Cricetulus griseus: one gene and its partners. The protein of the gene in region 5 interacts with the protein of the main gene of each other region in a pairwise test. Links are inferred from orthologs where the notes say so. Each region holds a gene or a part of one and is shown on either strand. Other genes may lie near its edges. The genes, in order: Pogz, Sema4g, Znf488, Fam168a, Rbpms, Qki and Gse1.

What was found.
Region 1: the proteins of Rbpms (region 5) and Pogz interact in binary tests that used the Homo sapiens proteins (3 or more experiments, as listed by UniProt). The two-hybrid records come from large-scale screens. The link is inferred for Cricetulus griseus from reciprocal best matches to the Homo sapiens genes RBPMS and POGZ.
Region 2: the proteins of Rbpms (region 5) and Sema4g interact in binary tests that used the Homo sapiens proteins (3 or more experiments, as listed by UniProt). The two-hybrid records come from large-scale screens. The link is inferred for Cricetulus griseus from reciprocal best matches to the Homo sapiens genes RBPMS and SEMA4G.
Region 3: the proteins of Rbpms (region 5) and Znf488 interact in binary tests that used the Homo sapiens proteins (3 or more experiments, as listed by UniProt). The two-hybrid records come from large-scale screens. The link is inferred for Cricetulus griseus from reciprocal best matches to the Homo sapiens genes RBPMS and ZNF488.
Region 4: the proteins of Rbpms (region 5) and Fam168a interact in binary tests that used the Homo sapiens proteins (3 or more experiments, as listed by UniProt). The two-hybrid records come from large-scale screens. The link is inferred for Cricetulus griseus from reciprocal best matches to the Homo sapiens genes RBPMS and FAM168A.
Region 6: the proteins of Rbpms (region 5) and Qki interact in binary tests that used the Homo sapiens proteins (3 or more experiments, as listed by UniProt). The link is inferred for Cricetulus griseus from reciprocal best matches to the Homo sapiens genes RBPMS and QKI.
Region 7: the proteins of Rbpms (region 5) and Gse1 interact in binary tests that used the Homo sapiens proteins (3 or more experiments, as listed by UniProt). The link is inferred for Cricetulus griseus from reciprocal best matches to the Homo sapiens genes RBPMS and GSE1.

Annotation. Positions count from the first base shown.
Region 1 is NW_023276806.1:61,643,436-61,646,935, forward strand, and holds part of Pogz (pogo transposable element with ZNF domain), read right to left. Parts: intron 1,490-3,500; coding exon 1,383-1,489; intron 629-1,382; coding exon 291-628; intron 1-290. UniProt on the Homo sapiens protein: Plays a role in mitotic cell cycle progression and is involved in kinetochore assembly and mitotic sister chromatid cohesion.
Region 2 is NC_048596.1:16,576,008-16,580,215, forward strand, and holds the start of Sema4g (semaphorin-4G), read right to left. Parts: upstream 2,801-4,208; 5' UTR 2,425-2,800; coding exon 2,301-2,424; intron 2,208-2,300; coding exon 2,059-2,207; intron 1,836-2,058; coding exon 1,773-1,835; intron 1-1,772. UniProt on the Homo sapiens protein: Cell surface receptor for PLXNB2. May play a role in axon guidance.
Region 3 is NW_023276807.1:185,393,951-185,396,641, reverse strand, and holds Znf488 (zinc finger protein 488), read right to left. Parts: upstream 1,515-2,691; coding exon 501-1,514; downstream 1-500. UniProt on the Homo sapiens protein: Transcriptional repressor. Plays a role in oligodendrocyte differentiation, together with OLIG2. Mediates Notch signaling-activated formation of oligodendrocyte precursors.
Region 4 is NC_048596.1:98,713,128-98,716,627, reverse strand, and holds part of Fam168a (protein FAM168A), read left to right. Parts: intron 1-1,285; coding exon 1,286-1,428; intron 1,429-3,500.
Region 5 is NW_023276807.1:51,013,785-51,016,480, reverse strand, and holds the end of Rbpms (RNA-binding protein with multiple splicing), read right to left. Parts: intron 752-2,696; coding exon 620-751; 3' UTR 501-619; downstream 1-500.
Region 6 is NC_048595.1:290,489,551-290,493,493, forward strand, and holds the start of Qki (protein quaking), read left to right. Parts: upstream 1-1,143; 5' UTR 1,144-1,187; coding exon 1,188-1,329; intron 1,330-3,943. UniProt on the Homo sapiens protein: RNA reader protein, which recognizes and binds specific RNAs, thereby regulating RNA metabolic processes, such as pre-mRNA splicing, circular RNA (circRNA) formation, mRNA export, mRNA stability and/or translation.
Region 7 is NC_048596.1:196,859,103-196,863,157, reverse strand, and holds the start of Gse1 (genetic suppressor element 1), read right to left. Parts: upstream 2,801-4,055; 5' UTR 1,990-2,800; coding exon 1,075-1,989; intron 1-1,074.

The DNA of each region.
Region 1 (3,500 bases), on a different chromosome or scaffold from region 5:
GGGAGTCAGATCTTGGAGTTACAGATAGTTGTGATACCATGTGGGTGCTGGGAATTGAACCCCAGTCCTCTGGAAGAGCAGCAGTGCTCTCAACTGCTGAACCATCTCTCCAGTCCCCAAATAATAGGTTGTTAAAACTAAAATTAGGTTCTGTGCAAAGAGACTGGTATCCTTTATTAATAAAATAACAGTATTGTACACTATAACTTCTAACAAGACTGCATCATAATTAATGTTTCCAAAAAGAAAAACTTAACAAGGTAAGAAAATTTGTCTACTTTCATGCTTACCTAATGTTGTTCTTTAGCCTTTTGGTACAATGAGGGCATCGGAAAGATGTGGCAACCTTAGGAAAGCTCGTGAGCTGGGCTACCTTGCCCCCATCCCGTCCATAGTAAAAGTCATCAACTAGCATAATAAGCTTGGTCTGGACGCCATCTCCAGCGTTCTCATTTGGCTCTGGTACTTTGGTAGGTGGTGAGAGAGCAGGAATAGGTGTAGAGGAGGGTGTGGAAGTGATGGGAGCTGTCTTCTCAGGGGATGAGGGCTTTGCTGCCAATGGAGTACTGGCCTCTGCTTCGAGGGACTTGCCTTTCTTCTGGTACTCAACCATTTCAGGGCAGCAGTACTGTAAAAGAGATGACGTCATGATTCTGATTACCCGAGACTAGGATGAGCTAAATCCATATCACTAATAGTCCCTGGGAGTGATCTGTTAATGTAGGCAATAAAGGATATGTTTGTGGACACTGGGATCTCTGCTCAGGATAGTCCAGGAGTAGCTGGACTATAGGCATTCATTAGCACACCTGAGCTGGGTAAGGTGGTTATCTTCCAGCTTTCATCTTGCTTTTTTTAGTAATCCCAGAGTTCACATTTTTCTTTTATATGTCCACAGAGCCTCTAACACTACACCTTTTAGAGCTCTCCCACCTGCCTGTCTAGAGACTTATAATAGCATCATTTGACTTGGAACATTCTAGAGAAAGAAGTTCCAACCTTTTCATTTGGACTGATACCAGAAAGTTACAAGACTATAAATAAAGCAGGGACCAGGTAACAGGTTTTAATTCTTCTAGTGACACAATTAAAACTGAGCTGAGGTTATGACAATTGTCTGTGGTCTTATGCAACAAACTTGCTGTCCCGCGAGATCAAATCTACCATGCTAAGACAGTAAGTGTCCCATCACCTATCAGCAGTTTTTAAATGCTGATATCATATTTTCAGTTCACATAGCCCTTTTCTACAATATACCAAAGGAGAGAACAGCATTTACAAGTTTCCAAGCCAGTTTAAGCATCTGATTTTCATGCTCTCACTATCAGAGAGGGAAGAGGAGGCCACTTAAGCTGGCTCCTGATACAGGTGGTGTCACTTACACACATGTGACCTCTCAAGGCTTCAGTGACACGGAACTGAGCGTTACACCGTGGACATATTTTCCGTCCACCATCCTGGAGGTCAAACGCTGGGATGGAAGAGGTCACTGGAAGAATGGAGAAGAATTAATAAGATTAATACAGCATACTGGGGCAAGATTCCTGAGAAAACAGCCAAGAGTAAAAAGCAAGCATGAGAGGCATACTTTTTCACTAGGGCTGGCTGGCAGACTGAGAACAAAGGGCATCTGACCAGCAGTCAGTTTCTGTTTTCACTCACGAGCTGGGAATGCCCTTTACCACCACCTCTAATTAGGTAAAGTTCTGTTTCTCTCTCCCACTTATGTCTTTTTTTTGGTTTGTTTTCAGACAGCATATTTGTGTAATTCAGGTTAACCTTGAACTCATGATTAACATGCCTCCACCCCGAGTTCTGAGATAACAGGATGTGCCATATGGCTGACAAGACACCTTTCTTTTTTAAAACTGTAATGGAGCTGAGCATGGTGATGCACACCTATAATCCTAGTCTTTGGGAAGTGGAGGCAAGAGGATCACCAAGTTCCAGGCCAGCTTAGTCTATATATTTAGTTCCATTTGGCCTACATAGGAAGACCTGGTTTTAGAACAAAACAAAACATATAAATTGTGACACTGTGACATACAGAAAGCAATACTCAGCACTATAACTGGCTTTGAGTATGTGCTTTAGGTGGCGAAGTACATCCATGATGTATAATTTTCAGAACTTTTTTACTTACTTAATTTCATGTGCCTTGGTGTTTTGTCTGCATTCATGTCTGTGTGAGAGAGTTGGATCTGCTGGAACTAGTGTTACAGACAGTTGTGAGCTGCCACATGGGTGCTGAGAATTGAACCCAGGTCCTCCGGAAGAGCAGCCAGTCCTCTTAACCACTGGGCCATCTCTCCAGCCCTCCAGAACTCTTCTTACCTTATAGAACTGAAACTATTTTGGGGGGAGTTCCGCCTGAAACAGCACCTCTTATAGCCCATACCATCGCTAAAGGCATGATACAGTGGAAGCCAGCTCTGAATTCCCGCTCCTCCTGCCTCCATGTGCCAGGGTCTAGGATAACACATGTGTGCTATACCCATGGCCTTTCTGTACCAGGGTCTCCTATGTCACACTACTGGCCCAGACTCTGACATTATTTCACATAAACTAATAATGCCCTTAAAGTTTTCCATGTTGTATTATGTCAAAACGACTTCCTATACATACAAGTGATATTACATGGAGTCAAGAAGGTTATTATTTAGGAATATGTATGTATAGATGTACATATGTGTACAATAACAACTGATGAAAAAAGAAGCCATAAATTTAAAGAAGAATGGGAAGAGATATATGGGAAGGTGTGGAGGAAGGAAAAGGAAGAAATGTAATTAAATTTACAATTTCAAAAATAAAAACAACTTTTGGAAAGAAAAAACTTCCTTTTTAACTCTAAATAACATACCATTGTATTAAACAAGACATATTTGTTTACACATTCACGATCTGATGGCAATTTAGGCTGTTCTCACCTTAAGCCTACTGTGAATGATGCAGCTAATGAGCACAGAGGTACAAACTCCTGTTCTAGTCCCTGCTTTCAACGCTTTTCACTATGTACTCAAAAGCAGAACTCCTAAAGCATATGGCAATTAAACTATTTTTTCACAGTATCTGTACTGTGCTATATCCCTGCCAATACGGTATAAGGATTCCACTTTCTCTATATGCTCATCTAAACGTTAAGTTTATTTTGTGTATGTGACTGTGCATGTGGTCAGAGTGTCCATTCTGTCCTTCAGTGTAGGCCCCAGAGATCAAACTCAGGCTGTAAGGCTTGGCGGTAAGAATTCTTTGCATGCAAAAAAATTAAAAATAAAACCAAACAAAAGAAAATCTTTGCACGCTGAGCCACCGTCTTATCGTACCTGAACCACTTTGTGATTTTTTAAAACCATTACAGGGGCTAGAGAGATGGCTCAGTTATTAAGAACACTGGCTGCTCTTTTGGGGAACCCCGGTTTCTCTAGCACTCACACAGTGGCTCACAACCATCTGACACCCTCTTCTGGTTTCTCTGGGTACCAGGCATGCACATGATG
Region 2 (4,208 bases), on a different chromosome or scaffold from region 5:
GATGAGCTTGGGAAGTGGACACATCTATCTCGACCAGGTGACTTCTCAGAGCCTTAAGGGTGTCACTGTGCACTGTGAGATGGGAATGTTGCCCTCTGCAAACATACTGGACCACTCAGTTCCTCCTTTGAAAATGACTGTCCTTCAGGACGATGCTTTGGGACACGCTCTGACACTTTGCTGCCCAAAGTCGTCTGGGGACCAGAGACAGCATCTTCAGACGGCTTTCTAGAAATATCTTGGGCCCTTTCCAGACCTACTGATCTGGAACCTATGACTCATGTATGAGGGCCTCTAAGGCATCAAACAGTACGGCTGTCATTGTCACAATAAAGCCCAAACCCTGCGTTGGGCATTTATGACACTTTGTGATCTAGGTTCTCCTGCCCCACAAGCTCTGTTTATTAACCACAATGCACTGAGGCAGCCTCTGACAGACAGTTCTAGAGGGGCACAGCACACTCATTGAGTCAGAATCTCTAGGTTGATGGACCTTGAGCTATTTCTCGCTTTTGTTTTGAGACAAAATCTCATATAGCCCAGGCTAGACTCAAACTTGTTTGGGGCCAAGACTTTCTTTGAACTCCTAATCCTTTCATTGTCTTCATAGGGCTGTCTTCATAGGCATGCACCACGACGATGCCCAGTGTGAATGTGTACTCTGTGTGTGTGTGTGTGTGTGTGTGTGTGTGCTTATACACAGGCAAATGCTACCATAACTGGCTTGGAATGTGTTAGGGTTTTTTTTTTTCTTTTGTATCTACTTATTTCATGTGTGTATGTGTATGCCTGTGCTATGGTACACATTGGAAAGAAGATCAGAAGATAACCTGTCTCTCCTTTCACTGTTCGGTTCGTCAAGCTTGGTGGCAAGCACCTTAACCTGCTGAGCCACGTCGCTGGTCCAAGAATGTATATTCTGTTCTTTTGGTTTTTCGAGACAGGGTTTCTCTGTGGCTTTCGAGCCTATCCTGGAACTAGCTCTTGTAGACCAGGCTGGTCTCAAACTCACAGAGATCCAACTGTCTCTGCCTCCCGAGTGCTAGGATTAAAGGCGTGCGCCACCAACGCCCAGCAAGAATGTATATTCTTAAAAAGATCTCTAGCTAGGTGTGGTGGTGCACACCTTTAATACCAGTACTTGGGAGGCAGAGGCAAGCAAATCTCTATGAGTTTGAGGCCAGCCTGGTCTACATACTAAAAGTCCAGGTCAGCCAAGGCTACATAGTGAGACCCTGTATCAAAAAACAAAACAAAACATAACAAAAAACAAAACAAAACTCCAAAATCGGTAAATAAATACAGAAATAAATACAGAAAACTCTGCAAATGGCTGTTACATAGCCAGATATGATCCCCCTCCCAGCAGACAGCCTGCTTTTTAGCTAGAAAGGACTAATGCTTGGCTAAGGTCCCTCCATGAACACCAGGTACTTGGACTAGTGTTCCAGCAAAGTCTCATTTTTCCTATCTGTGAGATGGAGATAATAATGCATCATAAGGTTGTTTTAGAATTAGATCTGGTTGTTACTTATTAGCAGCTACTTATTGTTACGATGATAATTTGAGATCCGACCCCCGGGGGTGGGGATTAAGATACTGTGACAAGCCAGGCGACATGGTCACCCCAAGGCCTGCCTTTCCTAATGTTCACTGTGGTTGTGTATAGTTGGCTGCTCATCTGTACCTCTCCATCTGTGTCCCTCCCAGTTCTGGGACCCCTGCCTGGTTGAGGAGGAAGAAAGAAGAGCTGGGGACAGCTGATCACATACCTGGTTGTTTTTCCCTTTCTGGTGACACTTGCTCTGCATCTCTGGGGAGGCCTCCCAGTGGATCTAGTGAGAATAGAGGAACAGACTGCAATACTGACCTCAATATCCACCACCCAGAGGATCACACAGTGGGGCTCCAGAGTGCGGGGGAAACTGGAGTGGGGTGAATTTGAGAAGGGGCTCTGGGCTGGAAAGGGCCGTGCTGCTCAGAGGCTGGAAGGCTGGGAAAGCCTCCAGGTAACTGAGGTCCCAGGGGGCTGAAGACCCCATGGTTGCCAGGGCTGACCTGTTTGTGAGCCCCATCTCCTATGTCACGGGCACTGAGAGAGAACAGGGCACCTCGAGCTCCCACCAGCAGCCTTTCGGAAGCGTCCTCCAGCAGGAGTGTGGAATAGTTCTGAGCTTGGCCCTTGAAGTGCCGGATCTGGGAGAGCTCTGGGAATAAGAGTGGCAGAGAGCCGTCTGTGGGGGGCTACTTCCTGTCTGCAGATCTGGCAGACATAGCCTTGCAAGGTTGGGGAATCTAACCTCCATAGGAGATGGTTGTCCGTGGGGTGGCATCTAGCTCTCGGGATGGTCTCCGCAGCGAGGGTCCAGGGACTGCTGTTACTGTGAGGAAACTGAAGAGGAGGGGCCAGAGCCTCCCCCACATCTTCCTGGGTAAGTTCAGTCCAACAGGACCCCAAAGGCAGCTGGGGCCAGAGTCACAGGACTGGAGGGGAAGAGCAATCACTGGGGTCAAAGTCCAGGCTGTGATCACATGGAAGGTTAGGGGTCATGAGGCCATGGGGATCAGGTAGTCATGGGGCCATGGAGGATCCTGGAATGGGGGAGACATGGAGCCACAAGGTTGTGTGGCCATGGAATCACAGCTCAGAAGTCAGAGGGATGGATGGGCGGGTCACGTGTCTTTCAGCATCAAAGGCAAATTCCATGGAGAGTGGGCTTTGGAGGGTCCCAGCAAAGTTGTAGGTGACTGAAGGGGTCACCTTTCCCCAACCGAGGGTATGGGGGGAAGTTCCAGTTTCTCTCCGTTTTCTGGAGGAAAAAAAAGCAAACAAAAACAAAATCAAAATCCCTCTGATGGAAAGCCCTTTGATCTGTGTGTGGGTGGAAGATGGTTGGCATTACCCAGACTTCAGGGGCCCTGAAAGACAGAGGGAGGCCCGACATCCAAAGAACTCCCTCATCAAGGCAGTCTCAGACATTCTGTCCATTTCTGCTCTGCTAAAGAAGGCTGTGGTGAACTTACTGTCTTTATAAGACCCTAGACTAGCTTTAACCTATCTATACCCATGGTAACAGCCCTTGCCCAGTCAGAACACTGCTTGGGGCCATCTAGGTAGAGCATTGGTTCTTAGATTGGCCTGTTCCTCCAGCAGTACTGCCTGCGGGGGTGCCTTCTGCAGGAAGGCCTGGGCAGAGTCAGTTAATGGGCCTTTGTTAATTTTGTCCTGTTTTCCCTTTGTTTTTTCTTTCCCATTGGCCTGAGAGCTCCCTTTGGAATTTCTCTTTAATTAGACACTCTCTTTGGCATTTTTCTCTGAGGGGGTGCACATCCCTGCCCTGCCCATGCGAGTCCATACCTCACCCTCTGGCTGGGCATCTACACGAGTCCCTACCTGCTAGACCTACCTGCTGGCAGGCGGCACAAGTGTGAGGGGGTGGGAGTGAGGTGCAGGTATCTAGTTCCGTGAGCTGCACAAGTGTAATGTCTGTGCAGGAGACTGCAGTGTGTGTGAGACCAGGTAAGACCTAAGCAATGTGGAGACAGTGAACAGTGGGATTCTGAGACTCCTGGCCACCCTTAGTCCTACAGCCGAGGTGGAGGTGGGTGACATGGCCTCCCTCTTATCTCCAGGGTATTTCCAAAGATTTCCTGGGCTGGGCAAGGTGTGGAGGAAGCCTGATCCACCCAATGTCATCAGACACCCATAGCCAGGGTCAGAGGGTGTCACCAGCCTCTCCTTTCCTTCTGGGTCAAATATTAACCATATGGCCCTAAAGAGAGGGGAGGAATCTGGAGCTAGTCAGAGGAATAGCAGGAATTTGGAGGGTCTGTTCAGGAGTTAAAGGTGAGCATGCTACGAGAGGAAGAAAGGGGGGTCTCTACCACAGAAAGGGCCTCCTCAAGCTCCTGTTTTGAGGGCTGGGGCAACAGGAGGTTTCAGGCTACCTGAGCCCCACCTTGCTGTAAAGGCACACCTGTTTGCTTTTGGGGCCTCCTATTTGCTCAGCACAGAAGGGGAGCCCTAGGGCTAGCAGAAGTGGGAATTAGTGCTAAGGGTCAGGCAGGAGCCAGTCAGTGTGGAGTGCATGGGTACATGTGTGCATTTAGTTTTGAGTCACATGGTTCCTGAAGAATGTGACACACTTGCTCACAGGTGTGCACACATGTTCAAGTAGGCTGGAGAGCACATGTATTTACAAGAGTCA
Region 3 (2,691 bases), about 130 Mb from region 5:
AACTTCAAATGCTACCAGGAAATGAGCTGGCCACTTACCACACACCTTCCTCAAGACTGAAGACATTTCATTAACACACCATTTTAAAATGAGAAAACTTAGGGTCAGCAAGTTAAAGGAATATGTCCAAGGTCATGGCTCCCAGGTGAGAGAGCCCAGATTGAATGCAGGCTTGTTTGCCAACAAAGTCAAGGGTGTTGTGCTCATTTGCTTCCAAGCAGAGAACTAGGAACAGAGCCAGGAACAGCCTTGTTCCCTAGGTCATAGGTCCCCTTATCCCATGAGCCAATCTTGCCATTTTAATGCATGGCTTTCCAGAAAAACACATCACAAGGACTGGGATATCTGACAAATTATAACTGAGCTGTTCATCTCTGGGAAGCAAAGAGAGCAACCTTGAAGACACCTATGACAACCTTCTCAATAAAGGCTAGGGGTCACTTGTGCCTCAACACTGAGCTCTGGATTCTATGGCCATTGGGTTTCTCCTTAACAACCTACTAACTGTGTGAAGTCATATGCCTGGAAAGATGGTGGCGCTCCCGAAAGTACTCATGACAAATGGGACAAGTGAGAACTTCCTCTCTCCGTTTCTTAGAATGTGGATCAGGGCCCACATGCTCCCTTTTGTGATGGGAACGCATGTGGAAGACCAGGTCAGACGTCAGACGGAAGGCAAGATTGCACTTAGCACACCAGTTCTGAGTGGACAGGCCTGGGGAGGAGAGGGTGGGAGGCAAGAGAGCCTGAGAGGCTGTGGCAGAAGGCATTGAGGATGTGGGTACTTGCACCTGGGTGTGATCCAGCCAGGATGCGGGAGCCCCCTGGAAAGCATTACAGAGCAGAATGTTCTGTGACAATGTATGCAATCTCCAGAAGTCACCCATGAGTTTGAACGTTGACAGCTGAGCCCATCCTGGTATGTCCACAGTGGTGATGAGTCCAGAGAGCTCCCATGGGCCCTCTGCATTTCCACTGTCCAGAAGCAAGGGGGAGCGCCTAGGTTTCTCTGCCGGGCGCTTGGCTGGCTTGCTAAAAGCACTTCTCTGCTCATTTCGGGTTGCTCCTGGCCAGACTGAGCACACTGTGCCATCCACTGAGGCTCTGGGATGATCCAAGGGCCGCTGCTCACTGCCAAGCCAGCCTTCTGGGTCCTCTGGCTTCCTCTTCTGGGCTTGAATGTCCCCTGGCCTCTTCTGGAGACAAGACAGTTCTGTGAAGGTACCCTGCCTCTGCTCTGTGCATGCCTTGCAGGCCAGATGCCTGTCCACTCGAGGTTCATTCAGTGCTGTTGACAGGCTTGGTTCAGAAGAGGTCACATCTTGGCTACTCTTACCTGCAGTGGTTCCAGAGTCCAGGAGAGTTATTTTCTTGAGCAGTCCTGGCTGGATCTGTTTGGGTTCCATGAGCCTCCATCTTTTCTCAACTGAAGCACTCAGAGAAGACCCTTTGCCCTCAGCCATGTGATCAGCAGGACCTGACAGGCTAAGCAAAGTGGATGTTCCAGCAGCCATTAGTCTATAGGGCTTTGGAGTTCCAAAGGACTGTCCCTACCCCCAGGAGGAGCTATGAGCCTGGACTGGATGCACTTGACTACTGGTCTCTGCAGAAAAACAGAGCAACAGGCAGTGAGGCAGGCACTGGTCAGTCAGTGCCCCATCATGTAGGCTGGCACCAGACAAGCCAGTTTTTTCTGGCCTTCCTTTGATGTCTGTGAAGTGGGAGCAGGGTCATCTGAGGAGAAAGGGAGAAAGAATGAGCTCAGATAGTTTAGACTCCGGCAGCAGGTGGAGACAGGCATTTGCCAGAAAGAGCCCTGGAGCAATGGAACCAGATGACTACGCCATGGCCCCACGCAGGGAAAGGCAGGCAAGCCACAGAAACACCTACTGTGATTAGCAAGCCTGCATCAGAACCCTGGAAGCTGGAGAGGTAGGGAAGGGAGCCTGCTCTGAGGCAGAAAATGGGGGATCGTGGACACCTACCGACAAGATGACCCTGAAGTGAGGAAGAAAGAACCATCAGCTCCTGCTCCAGCTCAGTCTGGTTCTTAGTGCTCCAGAGCCTGGGGGAAGCCACAGCATCTGGAAACAACAATGTGCAAGGTTATCTTGGTTCCTATGGTGTTCCTTTCCTTCCCCGTCTCCTACACTAGCAGCCCCTTTCCCTCCATCACATCCCCAACCTGCTTCCACTATGTTCTTTTGGTTCCTTTGGACCAATCTTAGATTCCTTGTCCCTGTGTTTCCCCAACTCCCACCTAAGCCTTGTATGGTCAGGCTGCCTTTCCATGTGGACCCTACTCTAACTGCGATCACACAGTGGCCACTGCTTAGTTTTATGCATTTTTCTACTCCAGTCCCTGATAAGGAGTGCTTTCTGTGGAGTCCTTTGGGAGTCGGGGCCTTGATAGACCAGCCAGGGACGGGGAAGAAGGATGGGTATTTGTTGTGGGGAAGCTTCATAAAGACATTGCTTTCACCTCACCTAGATCTGGCCATCCTGTGAGTCACAAAGGGAAAGCTATAGAAGGTCACAGTACAAGTGGAAGGGAGGTGCATGGGTAGCCACAGCGGGGTGCAGCAATAGAGGACTGAAGCCCCAGAGGGCTTCCAGAGGGATGCCAGTGTGGAGTCCTATGTTCTTCCCACACTATGGGAGCTAACCATCAAACACGTGCTTAGAAGTAGC
Region 4 (3,500 bases), on a different chromosome or scaffold from region 5:
TCTTTTACATATTCTATCTTAGAAATTCATCATTTACACTATTATTAAAGACTTTTCCTATCTCCTCCTAAAACTAAAGTCTAGAGATTTGGCATTATTTACCCAAGTTTGGAAGAAAGCCAGACCTAAGCCCACATCTCTTTTCTTTCAACAAAAGCCTGCTCCACCCTGCACCATCCCCAATCCTGTCCTGACTTGTGAGCCCTACTTCTATCCGTCCTTCTGAGATACAGGCATAGCCTAGGTTCTAGGTCACTGTGTGTCTTCCTGATTTCTAACTTCAGGTGTTTGGGCAGAGGTTTCTCCCAGCCACAAGAAAGAAGAAAGGCCAGCTTTACAGAGCAATTTTCAATATCCTAGAAGATAAGGATCTCTGAGTAGTGGTTTTGTTTGTTTTGGTTTTTGAATGTTTTTTTTTTTTCCTTCAAACTTGTGAAGAGCAAGGGAATATGATCGTTGAAGCTCATTAGTGGGAGATAAGAGAAGAAAAGGAGAGAGAATGAAGTGCTCAGGATACACATGTGTGACCAGCTTGGGCTTCATAATGAGACCCTGACTCAAAAACCAAGGAGTTAGAGAATAGGGGAAGCAAGACAGAGAGAGATAGAATCGACAACAGAAAATATCCTGAGATGCTAAGTGAGGAACCAGAACATAGCAAAAAGAAATGGGCATCTAGGGCTGGAGAGATGGCTCAGAGATTAAGAGCACTGCCTGTTCTTCCAGAGGTCTTGAGTTCAATTCCCAGCAACCACATGGTGGCTCCCAACCATCTGTAATGTTGTCTGGTGCCCTCTTCTGGACTGCAGGGATACATGCAGGCAGAACACTATATACATAATAAATAAATCTTTAAAAGAAAGAAAGAAAGAAAAAGAAAGAAAGAAAGAAAGAAAGAAAGAAAGAAAGAAAGAAAGAAAGAAATGGGCATCTGTCAGTATATATCTGCCTTTCCACACAGGCAACTCAGAACTCCAGGTTGTCTGTCAGCGTAAAGGGCCCAGTAGAGACTATTTGGTTCTAGCTTCTGTTTTGGATGAAAGCCCTGAAACCCAGAGAAATAAAAGAGCCCCAAATCATGCTTGTAGCCCTGTTCACCAGGACTGAGGGAGCTGCCTGGGGCTGTAGCTCTGGGGTGGAGCTCTGTTCTCTTATCTGACCTCACTTGTGTTTCCAGCTGGATTCAACCCATTCTTGTTTGAGGAATTGGTACAGGGTGCCTGCTGCCTTCAAGCAATGCTATTCTGCCAACTAACTAGAGGTCTCTTTTATTGCCTTGGTACAGGATATACTGCAGGGACACCATACAAGGTCCCACCGACCCAGAGTAATACTGCTCCACCCCCCTACTCCCCATCACCCAACCCCTATCAGACGGCCATGTATCCAATCAGAAGTGCCTACCCCCAGCAGAATCTGTATGCCCAGGTAGGTACACATGGAGGACCTCTTGTGCAGGAGCCTCCAGCAAGGATGGGGTGGCATGGGATGAGGAAGAGAAAAGAGTTAATGGGTCTGGCCAGCTGTCATTACTGAAGCAATATTCCTGCAGGACTGCCTTCTCTGCCTCACTTCCAAAGGGTGAAGCATGAAGTCATTTAGGTTAACAGAGCCCCAGATGCTGGAGGACCATTAGAAATCATCTAGCTCAACTCCTTTGTTGAACAAGTAGAGAAGCTGAGACTGCAGAGGAGAAAGGCTTGTCTGAGGTCACACAGTGAGTTATTGGCTGGTTCAGGCTGTGCTATCACTTGTCTTGATCTTCCCTCTTTTAATCTCACACCTCCCTTGATAAAATCTATGAGCCAAGTAGGAAAGAAAAATAATATCCAGTGTCTGCTACCAGTGCCCACTGTGACCTAAGGCGAGTGATTCTTTTGTTTGTTTGTTTTGGGGTTTTGTTTTTGTTTTTCGAGACAGGGTTTCTCTGTGTAGCTTTGGAGTCTATCCTAGCACTTGCTCTGTAGACCAGGCTGGCCTCGAACTCACAGAGATCCGCCTGCCTCTGCCTCCTGAGTGCTGGGAGTAAAGGCATGCGCCACCAATGCCTGGCACGAATGATTCTTTAGTATGTCTTATTGGACCCATTTGGATTTCTTCTGCTGGAGAATGTGTGTAGCTGATAGGAGGCAAGAGGGAAGCACCATTTGAGACTCCAGCATGGCACATTCTTCTGAAGTGACAATTCTACATGAGGTATAAGTGGTAAGGGAAGATTTGGAGTTTAAACCCAGCTTTGTTGTCAGGCAGTGGTGGTGCATGCCTTTAATCCTAACACTCAACAGATAAAGGCAGGCCTGTCTGTCCAGTTCAAGGCCAGCCTGGTCTACAGAGCAAGTTCTGGGGCAGCCAGGACTACATAGAGAAAACCTGTCTTGGGAAAAATATAAAAACAAAACAAAACAAAACCCAAAACTAGCTATACTGGTGCTGGAGAGATGGTTGGTGGTTAAAAGCACTTGCTGTTCTTGCAGAGGTCCTGGGCTTGATTTCCAGCACCCACATGGCAGCTCACAGCCATCTGTAACTCCAGTTTCAATGGATGCAATGCCCTCTTCTGGCCTCCATGCAAGTGGCACACAGACACACATGCAGGCAAAACACACACACACACACACACACACACACACACACACACACACGTATTTAAACAACTAATAGAAAACATTTTTTTAAAAAGCTGTGTGGTGGTGGAGCACACCTTTAATCCCAGCACTTGGGAGGCAGAGGCAGGTGGATCTCTGTGAGTTCGAGACCAGTCTGGTCTATAAGAGCTAGTTCCAGGACAGCCTCCAAAGCCACAGAGAAACCCTGTCTAGAACCCCCCCCCCAAAAAAAATAAAGAAAACATTTTTTTTTTTAACTAGCAATGTTGCAGAGTATACTACAAAACTGGGGCATGACAACATGTGCCTTTAATTCCAGTATTGGGAAGAAGTTCAGGGTCATCCTCAGCTATATAGTGAGTTCAAGACCAGTCTGTCTGGAAAATAAATAGGTAAGTAAGTAAGTAAATAGAAAAACAGGAAGTTTAGATCAATTTTTCTCCAGTATGGTATAATATCTTAGCCTATGCTGTCTAACCTCTAAGGGTACAGCGAGACTTTTATTATTTACTATTAAAGCCAGAGAATTTCTGGATTAATCTCAGATGCTTCTGTCTGCTCCCAGAGCTCAGGAGGCTGAAATGTAGCACCTGAGAAGAGTCATGTGGTCTGGGAAGGGCAACATCACTTCAGACTACTGTCTCCCGAGACACCTTGGGAAATGCTATCCAATAATGACATAGCAAACATAAATCAACAACATTCACACTGGTGTATGAATGCCATTAATAATGCTTCTGCCTGTGTGGCAGTGTTCTGGTGTCCCCATGCTCAGAAACTCACTGTGTTCCTTACTGTTAAATTAGGGGCAGCTTATGGACATGCCTTAGAATCAAATTTTGAAAATTTTTAAATGTTAAAACCAAGGCTAAAGGAGAAAAGCTCTTACTAATT
Region 5 (2,696 bases):
CAGGTGTATGCCACCATTAATTAGATCAAAAGCAATGGGATTTGATGGTACATAAGTACCATTAAACCAGAGAGAGAATTGTAGCTCATGACTAGATAGAACCGAACTAGAAATGGGATCCAACTCAATAACGGAGGTCCCATTTTGGGGGTCTTCCCTTCCTTGGGAACAGAGCAGGCACACAGCAGTATGTGTCCCCTAGCTAGATCTGGCAGCCTTGTTGGTGCTGATGCAAGAACTTCTGGTAGCCGATGACCTGTTGGCACGAGGATCTTCTAACATGAAGCTCAGGGTGGTTTCGGAGCTCGAGAAGATGGCAGCGGCATCGATGAAGCCCTGGAGCTGGGCGCAGTCTTCTAGGGTGCTCTTTCAGAATCTGCTCCCGTGAAACATGCAACTTAGCTTCTACGGGCCAGGTACTCACAAACTCAGCCAGAGATTAAATACTTTTGCTCCAAAATTGTAGCACCATGAAAACAAACTCTGTAGTCTACTTGAGATCATTTTCCCTCTGATTGAAATTTTTATTGAAATCTCTCAAATATCATCAAGAAATAGTTTTTTGTTTTTTTGATTTTTTTTGTTTTTTGCAAAAGGGGGGTGGGGGTTGCTAACAATTTCAACATGGGAGCTCCCTCTGCTGGTCTGCAGTAGGCTGATATGTGACAAACACATTCCCAGAGACAAATCTAATTTGCTGGAGAAGAGGACAAAAGACAGGTGTGTTGGGCTTTGCCTCTGGAGAGAAACACTAGAAGAAAAAAAAAAAAATCCATGTCTCAAAACAAAGCACAACATTGCAAAAAATAAAAAATAAAAAAAAGCAAAATCAGAAGAATCTCCAAGACACTCAGTTTCCAAAACAAAACCCCAGGCACCTAGGAAGGGGCCCCCACTCTGCTCCCCTCTAGTCAGTATTCTCGGAAGCCATCTTGGCCTCCAAGGCTCTCCTGACAGATTTCCCATTTACTTAGAAAAGAAAGTTCCAAGAAATCGCTGGAGCAAGGCCTCTCCAAAATTCCATCAAGAGTAAAAGAATTAGGTGAGCTGGCGCCTTGCTGTTTTAGCAAGGGAAGCAGGTGACAGACCTGCTCTAGAACTCTAGAACCACTGTGACTTGGGACAACTCTCCATCTCCTCAGGCCCTGTTCCCTGTCTGTGTAACGGGCTGGATCAGTTGTCTGCAAAGCTACCAGTTCACTCCAACATGGACAAATACATTTATTAAGAATGTTCATTTAAATGACTCTACAGAAGTGAGACTCGACATGGATCTCACCACCAGCAGATCGGAGTTCCACCAAAGGTAGGGCTGATGGCTGAGTTAGGAGGACTGCAGGCTGGGGAAGTCTCAAGAGAAGGGGGTCGTGTGGGTGATGTATGCCAACGAGGCACACGCCGTGATGCATCTAATCTTGCACTGGGTCTCCATCCCTCCTCACAGGGGCGTAGGCTTTCTAAATCTCCCAAGACCCTTGTTAGAGAGCCTTTACCCTCCATATCCTGCAAATAATTCCAGATGTCATGTCACATCATGACCAAAGCCAGTCTTCCCAGGTCTTTCTGGGCATTAGCAAGCCTTGATTCTCCAGGCAGCAGTGAATGGCTCTGTTGCCCGATGTGCAACCTTGCACTGTTTCATGGTGTGTACTGCTAATAACCCCAACAGTTGGTTGCTCTGTTCCTGAACCCTAAGCAAGAAGGGCATACCTGCACACGAAGTGTGGGGCACACAAAATGGGGACTTTATGGACCTTTGTTGTCAACAAAGTTATCCACAGCACAAAACCACTAACGACTCAGCTAAAGACAGCCACCACCTAGCTGCTCCTGCCTGCTACCTGGCAGTCACCAGGGTTACTGAACACTGACCCATGTAGAGACACCGGGCAGAGGGTGGAAAAGCAAAAGGCACACCTGATCCTTGACTTCAGTTTGTTTCTTGAACCAAGGCAAGTCACTGCCACCTCTGCACTTTTCCTAACTCCCCACACTGCTTTGTACCCCCTCCCTGAAGAGGACAGACAATATCTGTTCCCGGGCACAAGACAATGGGGTTCCCTTTGAACTCTGTCTGCCTGAAGCAGATGATGCCCCAGGGAGAACAAACAGCTAAGGAAACCAGTTGCCAATGCAGGCAAAAAGCACTGGAGTCTCAGATAAAGAAAGGTTGGCCTGCAGTACTCTTGACACAGTGGATTGGGAACACTCTCTGGGGCTGCTCCCAGGCCTCTTAATCAGGACATGAAGGGGTATCATCCAGCCTTGGAAACAAAGACCATGCAAAATAAACACCCCCCCACACCTGACCAGTCTGACAATTTACAAAGATTTATAGTATTTGTTTAGTTTGGGTGTCTGCACGAGTACTGGTGTGGAGGGCAGGGGACAACTGGCAGAAGGCAGCTCTCTCTTCTACCTGTGGGTCCTGGGGATTGAACTCAAGCTGTCAGGCTTGGCGGCAAGTGCCTTTGCCCAATGGGCCATCCTACCAGTCCACAGCCAGCAATTTTTAAGAGGCCAGGTTGAGTGGCATATGTAGTAAGACAGATAGAACCTATATTTTACTTGTCAATGGCCAGCAATAATTGTCATGGGCTGACTACATGAGTGGTTATGCCAAGGGTGAAGCTCGGGTCTCATTATTATCCTCAGCTCTCAAAAGAACCATGGCTTCCAGGGAGAGGAAGAGCTGG
Region 6 (3,943 bases), on a different chromosome or scaffold from region 5:
CTCGCCCCCCACGCAGGCGCGCTCTCCGGCCGATAGGGCGGGGCGACCCTCGGAAGGGGCGTGGCCACAGCCCTCGACGCGCGCACGCGCCCTCGGCCTCACGGCTACGTGTCGGGCCACGTGATGCCCACCCGAGAGTGCCCCCAGTGAAGCAACAGGACGTTAAAAAAAAAAAAAATTCTCCTTTTTTTCTTTTCCTGAGGGGTGGCGAGGAAGGTGGACGAAGAGGTTTTAAAAAAAAAAAGAGAGAGAAAAAAATCCCCTCAAACTATAGTAACGCGCCGAGAGGCGAGGCCAGGGCGGCGGCGAGCGCAGCGCCCGCGCATAGTCCCGCCGGAATTCCTCTCAGCCGACGCGCCCGACCGCGCCCGCCGCCTCAGCAACAGCGCGCCGACGAGCCAGCGCCGCCGCCCGCGTCCCCTCAGCCGCGACCCCGGCCCCGCGCAGGCCGCCGCAGCCGGCGCGCGTCCCCCTCAGCCGCGGCCCGGCCCTCGGCCACCAGCCGGCCGTCCGTCCGTCCCGCCCGAGCGGCCAGGGGCAGGGGCGCCGGCGGCGGCGGGGGGCGGGAGCGCGCCTAGCCCCGTAACGGCCGCCCTGCGCGCCCGGCCCGCCGCCCGCCCCCGGCCCTGCCCGCGCCCCTCCCCCCGCCGCCGCCGGCAGCGCCGCCTGAACTGAGGCGAACTCCGCCGCCAAGTGAGTGAGGAGGAGGAGAGCCGCGGAGGAAGAGGAGGAGCGGCAGTCGGAGCGGCGGCGGCGGCGGCGGCAACGCGGGGGCGCCGCGGCGGACAGCACCGCAGACTCGCGAGCTTCGGCGCAGGCGGCGCGACCGGCCGACGAGCGGCCCCTCGACTCCTCGCGGCGCAGCGGCCCCGCGCCGCGCTCGGCCCCGAGACCCGCCTCCGCCGCCGGCCTCGCGAGGGGAGCCGCGCCGGGCGGCCGAGGAGCGGCGGCCGCGGCGCGTCGGGCCGGGCGAAAGTGCCTGCGGGGGGGCGGGCGGGCGCGCGGAGCCGGCCGCCCCGGGGCTCGGCGCGGGAGCCGGAGCGGAGTCGGCGCGGAGCGGGACGCCGCGTCCGAGCGGCCGGCGGCCGGAGCTCGCCCCGCCCCTCCCTCCTCTCCTCCTCCTCTCTCCTCCTCCGGCGGCGCGCGGCGGCGGCGGCGCGGGCGGAGTGAGCTGCGGAGCCTGGAATATGGTCGGGGAAATGGAAACGAAGGAGAAGCCGAAGCCCACCCCAGATTACTTGATGCAGCTGATGAACGACAAGAAGCTCATGAGCAGCCTGCCCAACTTCTGCGGGATCTTCAACCACCTCGAGCGGCTGCTGGACGAAGGTGAGCCTCTCGACCCCCGCGGGCGAGCGGGCGGGCGCGGCGGCCCGGGATGGCGGGGCGGCGGGAAGGTCAGGCGGGCGGGCGCACAAAGGCGGCGCGGGCGGCTCGCGGCGGGTCGGGGCCAGGGCCGGGGCAGGCCCGAGGGCGGACCCGGAGCTCGCGGGCGGCAGGGCGGCGGGGCGGCGGGGCTGCGGCCAGCTCCCGACGGCGCGGCAGATAGACACCCCGCCATCCCGACCGATCTGGCCGGGCCACGCGAGCTCTGCCTCGCCTCGCCCGCGGGGCCCCGGCTGGGGGTGCCCGTCTCAGTGGAGTTGTGTGGCCCGCGGTACAGGAGTGGACTCTTCGGGTGTCCACAGATTACGTAGGGTACCGAAAAGTAGTGCTTATGTGGCCGAAGGCGAGCACGAGCTGACACAGAGCACAGCACTTTTTTTGTCCTTTGTTTAGGGAAGCGAGAACTGTTTGGGAGTTTAACTTCACTTTTTTTTTTTTTTTTTGGGTGGCGGGGGGAGGAGTATGAAATACCGCGATGACAGACCTGAACGGAATCCGAGTTCGGAAGAACTCACTGGGGCGGAGGGTTAGCTCCAGGCGTAGCCGCCCGCGTCCCTGGGGCGGGGAGCTGGAAGTTTGAAAGGACGGGAATAAAATAGAGCGCAAGTTTGCAGAAGCCGAGTTGGGAGCGCTGCAGGGAGCGAAGAGTGGCTAGAAGATGCATGCTGGTCAGCTCTGGCAGTCCTCTAAGAACTTCTCTCAGCAGCGACCTGGAGTGTTAGTTCCCAGGAGCCGTGGGTTTCCGCGGATTCCCGGGGCGGCCTGTGGGGCAGGAGGACCAACAAGTCCGCTTTGAAAACCGTGTAGCGGGGAGTTTCCCTTTTGTTTTTAAAAGTCTCCAGGCGGGGGGCTGTCTGAAGGAAGCGGAAAACTGTGCTGATGTGCGGATGAACAGTGGATTTTAGCATCTTGAGAAGAATCTCGAAATATTTTCAAATACAGCTAGAGAAATCAAAATTTATGCTCAAGGAGCAGGCATATCAGGGAAGAACAAAAGACTTTGAATACCTCCGAGCTAAGAGCGAGCTTCTTTTGGGTGGGGAGCCATAGGCAGGACTTGAGGCAGAAAGCGCTCAGTTATGACGCCTGAACATGCATACAACAGTAACAAGTCGAAAGGGACATTTCCTACTTTTGGGTCCGCGTGTCTGTTAGTCTCAGACGCCTCGGAGGAAAGTTGTGCTGCCCCTTTAAGGGGTTTTGCCTATTTGTGTTGGCATTTGAAAGATTGTGGAGGCAGAAAACTTTCTGGAATGTCAAAAAAAAAAAAAAAAAAAAAAAAAAAAAAGGAGGGTGTGTGTGTGCTGGAACTCTTCAATTGAGTATTTCCAAATGTGAGCGCTAAGGGGCGCCAGCTATTTTTTTTTAACCTTGGAATGTTTGGAACAAAATGTCTAGCATGCTTAAAAATCTGACCTATATTAAGTTCAGTAGAAATTTAAATTTTAGGTGACTTCACCTGTCATTATTTATCCACAAATGTGATTTCAGAGACAACACCTAATTTACTGTTATTTTTTCACTTGGTGTGTTGTTTTCATGGTATTACTGTGAAATTTATGATGAAAATTATAGTTTTTTAAAAGTACAGTGTATGGGGAATCTCTTACACGCCTAGACAGCATTTAAAATGGATTAATATGCATTCTTAAAGTTCTCCGTATACTCAAGTGACATATTGAGATCATAAAAAGTTTGGAAATACTATAGGAGTTTCCTCGATTAGTTGTAAAAGGCTGCTCATGTAGTCTTTCAGACTGATCAGATATAACCACCTTAGTTTGAGGTTGGCATAAGTCAGCTGGAGGAATTTCAATTATGTCATTATTTCTGCACAGGCTTGTTTATTACTCTCTAGTTAGAAATAGTAACCCTTTGTGTTCCAAATGTAAAAGAAAGCTAGTTTAGGATTACAGTATTCAAAATAATATTTGTTTCTTTCCTTTTCCTGTTTTCTCCATCTTTCACCTCAGTCTGCCTTCTGTACTCAGGAGTCTGCATTAGGCCAGTATACAGAGAACTTCCATGCTTGTAGGTAGTGTGTTTACAATAGACCTCAGAATGAATAGGAAGTGTGATTGTTTTAATCATATCAGAGCAAATGTTGCAGGACAGGGGCTAGTCCTTAATGTGTTATAAGCCTTTTCCTGTACTTGCTAGTCTTATTATAAATTTAATTTGACTTGAAAATACTGGTTTCTTAAGTGCAAGATCATAATTTTCTTGCTAGATGACTTAATTGTGAAAATTGGCAACTTGTGCTTTACCCCCTTGTGGCCTCTCATTGTCCAAAAACAAATTAATCATGACTTGTGTTTGTGGTTAGGGATTACACTCTCCTTTGTCTGTAATGCTTGGCAGAAAGATTACTTTTAAATTCAGATAAAACTAAGTTTCACTTTAGGGATTAAATTGTTCAATGGCATTGAGATATTCTATTCTCTGATAGTTAGAAATTTTGAATGGGACTGTCTAGCAATTTTATTTTTAAAATACTTTCAAGCAGTGAGCTTTTAATATAGTTCCTGTTTGAGAATTTTCAGTTGACTAACAACTT
Region 7 (4,055 bases), on a different chromosome or scaffold from region 5:
ATCAAAACCTTAAAGGCAACTCAAGACCAAGGCCAACTCGTGAGGCAGTTGGGGTTGTGAGCCTGGGAAAGGGACACCCAGGCACAACAAAGATTGCCTCATAGGTCAGCCTCCATGTGCCCAGGCATATCTCCCCCCCCCCCCTCTCTCTCTCTCACACACACACACACACACACACACACACAATTGCAGGAACCAGATACTTTACACACAGCCTTTCCTGAACTGGACCCACCTAACCACCCTTATGTCTCTCTGCAGGTCCCTGGCCAGTCACTGCCACACAGGCCTCTCTCTGTCCAGGACAGGACAGTCTGTTTGGTAGGAATTAGGATCCCAGCCCAAGGGCAGGACAGTGAGTGCAGTTCACAGATGCCTGCCTGCCTGCCTCCCTGCCTGTTGCCCCCTTTCCCAGGGCCACCTGGCCAGCTCCTGCCCAGTTTCTTACAAAGCTAGGTTCTATCATCCCAGTGCCCTGACTGTCTCCTACCAGGCAGACAGCTGCATCCTGAGAACAGGCCCCAGGCCTCGGCTCAGCTCCACGCAGCTGACTTGAAGAGACTAACCACTGCAAAGGTTGTCTAGGCCACCATCCTGGGTCCCATGAGCCTGTGTCCCACGCCTACACGTCTGGAATCTGTTGCCATCTGCTTCATAAAGCCACCAGGAAGACTCAAACGAAATGCACTTGGGTGGGAATCTTGGGAAGAGCGAGGCAGCCAGGAGCTCGTCAGAGGAACTAGCCACCTCCGGGTGACCTGCGTGGCTACACTAATTACCAATGTTATCGGGCGGACAACAGCCGTGCCCTGAACTTCCTCCGTTTGATAGATTCGTGGCAAACACTCCCAGCTTCAGCCCCATGCCTGCTGATTCCAGCAGCAGCTATTCTTCCACCCCTGCCCCCAGACCCTCTAACCTCCTGCCCCAGGCCTCCAAGGTCAGCCAAGCTAGCAAGGCAAAGAGAACGCCTCCTGCTGGGACACTCCATACAGAACCAATGATACTGCCAAGGAACAGAAAACATCTCTCCTTTTGAGACACAGATGCTCTGAGATGAAAGCTACTGCTTACCTTTGTTGCTCCTGCTGCTGGGGAGCTCCAGCCCATGGATCCCTGGCTGACAAGCCCTTGACCTGCACAAACCAGGGTCCCACATTCCACGCAGGCACCAATGATCAGCTGCCGGCCATCATCCACCAACAGGCTGTGGCTGGCTCTCAGGGTATACAGGAACAAGGGCAGCCTGGCCACCCTCACTGACTTCAGCCCCAGACACCGTTTCTTCTCTTGCTGGCAGAAGAAGCATACGAACGTGTCTACCTGGTACTGCCTAGACCAGGCGCTGACAGCCTGGTGAGCGGCTCTGGCTTCGTGCTGCAGCCACTGACCCAGCAAGTCATGATAGCAGAGCACACAGGTGGCCACCAGGCCGGTGGAGTCTGCAGGCCTGGCCCGTGGGGCGGGCGGATAGACAGTGAGGAAAGGAAAGAAGGGCTCCTTCTCGCCCAGGTGGCTAGCGGGGTTCATGCTGAGCTGGAACTCCTTGCCCGGCCCCAGCTCAGCCCCACAGATGTAACAGACGGCAGGCGGGCCTCCCTGTGCAGAAGCGGGCAGATCGCTTAGAGTAGGGTCCGAGGCCGAGAAGGCTTGGTGGTACCTGCCCAGGAAGCCTTGCACAGAGTTGATGAGTTCACGGTTGTGTGATGCCCGGTACAGGGCCCAGACGTCCTCCAGGACGCTGAAGCACTTGGGGCAGCTGCGAACCTCGCAGTGCTTGTTGGGGGGCCGAGCATTGGGTGGGCAAGGCAGGAGGCTGAGGAAAGGGAAGTGCATGGAGCCGCCCGAGTTGCCATTGACGATGCGGGAGGGCACTGCCCGGGCATCCCGTGTACAATCCTCCCCGCAGAGGTAGCAGGCCTCCCGCAGCAGGCCCGCGGCAGTGGGGGGGCCCTCCTCTCTGGGGAGTCTCCGGGCCTTGGAGGCCATGCCGGGGGCGTGGCTGTTCAGGGGAACCACGTAGAGCCGCTGCAGGACAGGCACGTTGGCCAGCTCGAAGCTCTGCCACTGGTGCGTGAGGGACGAGAAGCAGCAGGGACATACGAGGGTGCTGCCAGCCTCAGTGATGGGCTGGGCTCCGGGCGGGGGGCTATGCAGCCACAGAAAGGGGAAGAAGGGCGCCTGGGAGGGCGCCTCCTGCTTTTGCACGTGGATCTGCTGCTGCGAGGCCGGCGACAGCGCCGACCCACAGACGTAGCAGCAGCGGGCCTGGCTGTCCGCGGGCGTCGGGGGAGGCCGCTCCAGGCCCTCGTCCCCGAGGCTGCCAGCGACGTCGCTGCCCTCGGGGGTGCTGCTGCGCTCTGGGGGCCCTGCGGCCCGGCTAGAGGCGGCGCTGTCCGTGCCGTCAGGGGCAGTGGGGATGGGCCAGGGTTCCTGGACGCCCCTCAGCACGCTGGCCCGAGGCGGCTCCGGAGTCCAGTGCGTCCCGGGGCCCGTGCGTCGGCGCCGGACTCCGGGCTTCGTGGCGTCGTGAGCATCCTCGGGCTCAGGTTCCGGCTCGGGCTCCGGCTCTGGTAGCGCGTCGGCGTCCGACAGCTCCGACAGTTCCGAGTCGCGCGCGTCCTCGGCGTTCCACTCGCGGGCCCCGCGCCGGCCACCCGCGCTCGCGTCGCACTGGTGCGGCCGCTTGAGCCAGTACACGCGCTTGTCCACGGGCGTGCGCGCGCGCTCGAAGGCGGCCCACTGCTCCGCCAGGAAACAGCGGCACACGGCGCACACCAGCACGCAGCCATCGGCCGCGCTCAGCCCGCGCGCGCCGGGCGCCGGCTCCTGCTGCTGCAGGAACGGAAAGAAGGGCTGCGCGGGGCCCGCCGGCCTCACCGGCAGCTTCAGCTCCTTGCCGCGCGCGATGCCGCCGCCGCAGATGAAGCACGACAGGGCCGCGCCCGCCGCTGCCATGAGCCGCTGCTTGCGGGAGAGCGGCGCCGCCCGGCCGCTCATGGCCCGGCCGCCGCGCCCGCCTCCGCGCTACCCGCGGCTGCCGCTGCTCCGGCCGCGCCGCCCGAGGCCCCGCGCCCAACTCGCAAAGTTTGGCGGGCGGCGGCGCGCACGCGGCCCGGGGCGCACGGAGGGTCTCTGCGGCGGTGCCTGGGGCTGCTGAGTCCCCGGCTGGCAGCGGTGCGGGCCCAGGCGGCGCCGGAGAGCGCGCCCGGAACGTGGAGGTGGCGGCAGTGGCGACGAGCCCCGGGCGGCTGCGGCGGCCGCATGTGCGAGCTCCGGCGCCGGCCAGAGCGTCGGGTCATTTAATTGGGAGGAGGGAGGCGGGGCGGCGCGGGGCGGAGGGCGCGGGAGGGAGGCGGAGGCGGGGAAGCCCTCCCTCGCGCCGCCCTGCTGCCCGCCTCCACCCGGGCTCCTCCTCCCTCCCCCCCCCTCCGACTCCTCCTTCTCCTAATCCTCTTCTCCGTCCCCTCCTCCCCTGCCTCCTCCTCCTCCTAATCCTCCTCCCCTTACCTCCTCTCCGCCCCTCCTCCCCTGACTCATCCTGTCCTCTCCATCCTCCTCTTTCCTCCTCCCCTGACCTCTTCTCTCCCCAACCCGCCCCCCACCCCCGTCTTCCCTCCCCATCCTCTCTCACCCCCCTGTGTCCCAAACTATGGCACAATAGCGTTCAGCTCCTCTGTCTATTCTGTGTCCAGCAGGAGCCCGCAGTGATTCATTGCTCCAATTAGGGGCTCTGCAGCCCGTGGCTCGGGCTGTCTGAAGGGTCTCCTTTGGGACCCACGAAACCCATCAGCCGCTGCCGCTGATCTTTAAGGAAAGGTCAAGCCGGACGCATTAGAGCCAGGTGAGGACCGATGGGTACCAAGGGAGACTTGGGAAGAGCACCCCCACCCCCTCCCCCAGAACCTGGGGAGGTCCTGGCCGTTCAGTAGCCCAGGGTTGGGGTCACCTTTCTGAGTTCAATGCCCTAGTTTTTAGAGACAGAAGGAAAAGGAGTTGTCTTCTGCATCACCCTGGAGACAGAGTCCTCACAGCCTGCCCCCACCCTGACTGGC